Linked DNA regions of Kluyveromyces lactis. The protein of the gene in region 2 purifies or fractionates together with the protein of the main gene of each other region. This does not show direct contact. Links are inferred from orthologs where the notes say so. Each region holds a gene or a part of one and is shown on either strand. Other genes may lie near its edges. The genes, in order: NOP1 and ESF2.

Evidence for each region.
Region 1: the proteins of ESF2 (region 2) and NOP1 purify together in Saccharomyces cerevisiae (affinity purification with mass spectrometry, with the first as the bait; 3 studies listed by BioGRID). This does not show direct contact. The link is inferred for Kluyveromyces lactis from reciprocal best matches to the Saccharomyces cerevisiae genes ESF2 and NOP1.

Annotation. Positions count from the first base shown.
Region 1 is NC_006039.1:400,158-403,148, reverse strand, and holds NOP1 (rRNA methyltransferase NOP1), read right to left. Parts: upstream 1,729-2,991; coding exon 721-1,728; downstream 1-720. Other genes in the region: trans-2-enoyl-CoA reductase (NADPH) TSC13, read left to right, coding at 2,559-2,991.
Region 2 is NC_006039.1:1,673,062-1,676,129, forward strand, and holds ESF2 (RNA-binding ATPase activator ESF2), read right to left. Parts: upstream 1,657-3,068; coding exon 775-1,656; downstream 1-774. Other genes in the region: putative GTPase NOG2, read right to left, coding at 1-405; KLLA0_C18887g (uncharacterized protein), read left to right, coding at 2,322-3,068. UniProt on the Saccharomyces cerevisiae protein: Involved in the small subunit (SSU) processome assembly and function, and in the 18S rRNA synthesis. Required for the early cleavages at sites A0, A1 and A2. Stimulates DBP8 RNA helicase ATPase activity.

The DNA.
Region 1 (2,991 bases), about 1.3 Mb from region 2:
AAAGGTTTACTCTTAATATCAAAACCACTGTTGTCTTAAATATCATAATTATTAATTTCAAGAACTTTTCTTTACTTTTGTCTCAATTTGATGTCGATTAAAGATAAAAGAAACAAAGAGTTTGTCAACAGATGCACAGATGGACCGTATTATGGTATCGTAACCCGTATGGGGTTATATCCTTTAATTCACTGCTACCAGACATGATTTTCTAGAACGTATGGTTGTTATTGATATATATAAGTTATATATAGTATGTGATAATAATAATAATATATCTACAAATTAAATGTACAAAATAAGGTTAAGAGTGTTCGAGTATTAATACCGTTATTGTGAAAATGGGTTCTTTTGTATTGTCAAGTTGATGAACAAGGTTTTGAAATCTTCTTCTATTCTTTTCCCGTCAGTTAGTCGATCTCCTTTGAACAGGCGAAGGACCTGGACTGTAAGTAAAAGAAACACACAGAGTGACAAAATACAAGTGAAGACGAAGTGGAGACTTTTCTAGTTTGTAGAACTTTATCACGAATCAATGAGATGCAAAATTTCAAATAATATTATAGTGTTAATGATTGTATTGGAATGAAGGTTTTTAAAACTAAAAAGTAAGCAAAAAAAGATTAGAAGCCAAAAAAAAAAGATTAATAGAAGGAATCATGAACCAAGTAGGCATACTCTAGCATTGGTTTCAAAATATCAATATTTCTTTAGCAGCTCTTATAATCCACTTCTCATGTATTTACCGATAACGATACAATGGTCTCTTTCATAAGGTTCCAAAGTCAATTGTTCCAAAGGCTTAATCTTTTCTTCTCTCAATTTTTGAACTTCTCTAGCGAACACAGTTTCAGCATCAACAGTAGAATCGATACAGTTAGCCTTGATAGAGATAACGACACCACCTTGATCCTTCAAGAACATATGAGAGTTCAAAGCAATAATACGGGCTTGATCAGGTTGAGCAACATCTGCGAAGACGGCGTCAACCATACCGATAAGCATTCTGTATTTTTGTGGATGTCTAGCATCTTCAATAATTGGGATAACATTTGGTCTCTTCTTAGCCATAGAGATCAATTCTCTACCTGGTCTGTGAGAGAACTCAACAGCGTAAACCAACCCTTCTGGACCAACGACATCGGAAACGTGGGACACAGATGTACCGGAAGCAGCACCTAGATATAGAACCTTCTTACCTGGAGCAATGAATAGTTCATCCAAACCACCCATGATACCGGCAGCCAATTTGGATCTGAAAGGATTCCAAACACGGTATTCCACCTTAGTTGGTGGGACACCTTCTTCAGTGGAAGGTTCTTCAACTGAAACTCTCTTTTCACCGTACACAGATTCACCTGGAGCGATGTTCTTTGTGACCAAAAGATCTTCTTTACCTCTGGCAATAAAAACACCAGCATGCTTATGAGGTTCGATAACAACCTTAGCACCACCACGGGCACCACCACGAGCACCACCACGAGCACCACCACGAGGACCACCTCTGGAACCACCACGGGCACCACCAAATCCACCTCTGGAACCACCGCGAGCGCCACCACGAGGACCACCACGACCACCACCGAATCCACCTCTGGAACCACCACGGGAACCACCGAATCCACCACGGCCACCGCCAAATCCACCTCTGGAACCACCTCTGGAACCACCGCCGAATCCACCACGGGAACCGCCTCTGCCACCTCTAGAACCTGCTTGGAATGCCATTATTATTCTTAACTAGTTGGGAATTATCTGTCTTGAGATATAATGATTATGCTGCTGTTGCTGCTCTTGATCTTCTTCTCTCTAAATTGGACAAAGGAAAAAAAAAGAATTAAAATTGTGAATCAGTAACAGGTATTGTCGTTGACTTTGAAACAGAATCCTGGACGGCTGTAAAACTCTTCTAAAATGGGTAGATTATAGGAACAGAAAACGTACACAATACTATTCTATAAACAATTGATTACTTCTTTCAAGCAAGAACAACTTAATAAACTCTTACTTTACATTCGATGAGATGAGCTTTCGAAACTTTTTTTTTTCAGCTGAAAAATTTTGAATGAAAAAACAATATTAAATTTCTTTTTCAAAGTTCTCATCTTTGGTCTTTCTGTGCCTCTTGGTACGTACAGAACGATGAACGTTAAAGTCACATGACTATTGTCACATCTGTATCACGTGATATGAATTGATTATATAATCATATGAATCTACAACTTTTCAAGATTTTTTTTTGCTATGTTGAGCCAGATACTTGCTACAATGCGTACGTTTACTAAGGATTTCTATACAAGTTTTTCATAGTCAACATTGCGAAAATATGCAGATGAGATCATTTTTGGTTGTTGTTGTGAATATCGGTATCTTTATAAAAGCAGATAAAAAATCAGAGAAGTGGAACCAGCTTTGACTTTTGTACGTTATAGCAATCAGAATCTGAATTAGTATATCTGGATAAATTTTCTGGTTTAGTTTTGAGATCCTATTTTCCAAACTATCGCTGTATATTTTAATCCGACAGTTGAAGATATTACCTAGATAAGTGTCCCTTTATGTCTGCATCCAGTTCAATTTTTATTAAATCACGCTCAAAGAGCTTAAAAGACGTCAAGTTGGAAGTTCCAACAGAAAATACGTTGACATATCAATCTGTTTTGCAACAGATTTCGAAAAGCAATCACAATATTAGCGTTAACAGGTTAAGGTTAAGCTATCTGAAAGAAGGTAAGCAAGTCGCCATTGGGCCCTCTGAATTGAACGATGTTGGTAAGAAAAACACGTTCGATTCAGTTAACGAGTGGTATGTTAAGGATTTGGGTCCGCAGATCTCTTGGAGACTGGTGTTTTTCATCGAATATTTGGGTCCGATCTTGATCCATTCTTTAGTTTACCTTTTGTCTTTAAACGCAACAGTTAGGGACAAATTTCATTCTAAAAATGTTCCATATAACGATTTCTTCAATAAGTTCATCTACCGTCTGATTA
Region 2 (3,068 bases):
CTCTGTCTCCAAAATCTTTGCCGTTGGAGATTCAGCGGAATCCTTTTCGTTCAACAACGACATCGGAAGTTTATTTCTTCTCAATAGCACCTGATAAGAATCACGCTTGTTCTCGCCCAAAGCTTCTCTGAAATGGCTCAATGAATCCTGAGAAATAACTCTGGTATTACCAAACCATCTACGGTCAGGAGCCACTCTTGCTGTTGGAGCAGCAGTATCCTGCAACGGAGCAGCCTTGATAATGTCACCCTTTGCATTACGAACAGATCTACCACCTTTGTACATGTTCAAAAACTGCACTCTCTTGGTGTCCCTGTAGAAATTCTCACCCTTCACACGAAGGTTACCATCCTTGGTATTACCTTCGCGGATTCTCCTTTGCTTTTCCTTCTTACCGGTACCCATTGTGCCTTGGTATAGATTTCAATTAGGTTTCCTTTGGTTCGTTCGTTTGTTCGTTCTTTGTGGTAACGAACACGTTCAATTTCGATCGAAAACTCAAACAGATGGAAGAATAAGTAACTGAATGTCTCTTGCCTGGACTGAGATCAACCTGAATCGAAACAAACCACTGATGAACCTGCCTTTGTTCCTGTTCCAATTCATGAGATGAGATGAGATGAGCTGGAAAATTTTTTCTTTTCACTTTTTCTTACACTATGGGAATGAAAAAGAAACCTGATCTTTGACCATGGGAATGGCAGGCGATGAGTTGTACTCTCTGTAGGGCTTTTGGCTTGGCTATATGCTTTATATATGTGTTATATAGTCATCTTAGAATAAACTATGCATGACATCGTTGAGTGCTTTCGATTGCGGTTGGGATTGTCTCTGAGAATCTGGAGCAGATGCTCTTGTCGAAGCGACTTTCCTCTGTTTGAAAGTCCTGCGAACTTCTTCATCGACCTGCTGTGATTCTTGTTGGTTACGTTTCTTGCTCTGTTTCATCTTGTTGACCATCTTTGATTTCTCTACGTTATGGATGAACTCTGCGTTCAACTTGTTGGCCTGTGAGATTTCCAATTGTAGCTTTGCTTGTCTGATATCGTTTTCTCTAGCGATTTGTTCTGTCAAATCGGCCCATTTGAACCCGGGCAAGTATTTAACGTTCATGACGTCGTCATGGTAGAAATTTCCCTTCTTACCACCGATAATATTACCGTTTAGAGTCGATGCGCACAGTTTAGCGTCCTTCTTTCTGATAAACTCGGCCCAACCTTCTTCAAACATCGTTTTCTTGTTCCCACCACTCTTGACACGCTGCTGGTGCTTGTGCTCCTCTTCACGTTTCAAGAACAGACGGTCCACTTCACCGAATCTTGTGAGAATCTGCCTTAGCTTGGCTGGTTTCATGTACGGTGGAACCCTCGATAGGTAAACCACACCGGTCTTGTGTTTCGTCTTCTTATCGCTCTTAAGCTTTTTGAGTCGTCTCTGCTTTTCTTTCTCTATCTGCTGTTCTGTGAGTTGTACTACCTTATCCTCCGGTTCTTCTTCATCCTGTACTTCCTCGTCCTCTTCCTCTTGCTCTTCCTCGTCCTCTTCTTGATCAAACTGAATCACATTCTTCTTCGCATCCTTCCCAGTGATCAACACTTGGTTGTCCTCTTCTTCGTCTGACGCAAAATCATCCACATCGCTGTACTCCTTGCTCATCGTGTTATTGTTGTCCTTAGTTAACCTGCTGAACCTTGTGGTCTGTTGTCTCTTCTCTCATGTATATGGTTCATCTCATCTCATCTCATCTCATCGCTTTAGTTCCAAATTTTTCAGTATGGCACTCACTGTACAGAAGAAATGGGAACCAATCGTACTGGACGACGGACCGATACCACAATGAAGTAACGGGTCTGTAGCCGGTGTTTGCAGCCTGTATGGCCGGAGATCGCGAACTTGATCCATGTCTGCTCTTGCTGCACGCTTGAGCAGCTTTCTCAGTGAGGTGTGCAGGTCTTACATACATATTCTATATAGAAACGGCTTAAAACTACGTCAAAGCAGGAACCTCCCCACTCTCTTGGCGTAGTTCCCTCCGCTTTGCTACCAGAGTTGCCATTGCCATTGCTCATTGCCATTGACATTGCCGTTGTCGTTCCACTGTTATCCGGTTTGTGACAACTGGTGACTGGATTAATAATAACCCGACACGAATGGCAAGAAACCGGAAAAACCTTGTCCGTTCGAGAGATTAATCCAGATATATAAAGGGGAAGTGCTTCCGATATAGATGAACAACACATGTATCCTTGATCTAATTGGCTTGACTTGTTGATTTATAGTCGCCCCAATACAAACAACACACACTCGATATATTTTACAATATGTCTGCACCTTTAAACGTTGGTATTGTAGGTACCGGTATCTTTGCAAGAAACAAGCACTTGCCCACTTTCCAACAGCACAGCGATAAGTTCAAACCAGTCGCATGTTTCAACAGGACCAAGAGTAAAGCAGATGCGTTTGCTGTCACTGCTGGTATCGAGGAGTCTAAAGTTTACGCAGATTTGGACCATTTGTTGCAAGATGATTCCGTTGACGTAGTGGATGTGATGGTTCCTGTTCAATTCAACTATGAGACTGCGAAGAAGAGTGTAGAAGCTGGTAAACCGGTGATCTTGGAAAAGCCGATTGAAGCTAACTTGGAACAGGCTAAGAAATTGGTTCAATTGGCTGAATCTACCGAGCTTCCAGTTGCTATCGCAGAGAATTGGTTACATTTAGAATGTGTGCCAATAATGAAAGAGAAATTGGCTAAGATTGGTCCAATTGCTGCGTTCACTTACAATTCCACTGGTCCCTTCTATCCATCGAGTGAATACCTGGCTACCAGTTGGAGAAAACATCCAGAACACATTGGTGGGTTTTTGTCCGACGGTGGTGTTCATCAACTTGCGTTGTTGACTACTCTATTGGGGGACATCGGTAGCATTGCTGCGTTTTCTAACCAATTGAGAAAGGAATCTGGTACTAACGATATAGTGTTTTCCAGCGTAAAGCTCAGAGACTCGGATGTTATAGGTACGTTTACATATGGGTCTGCATTCGGTGCCACTGAGAAGAGTGTCTTT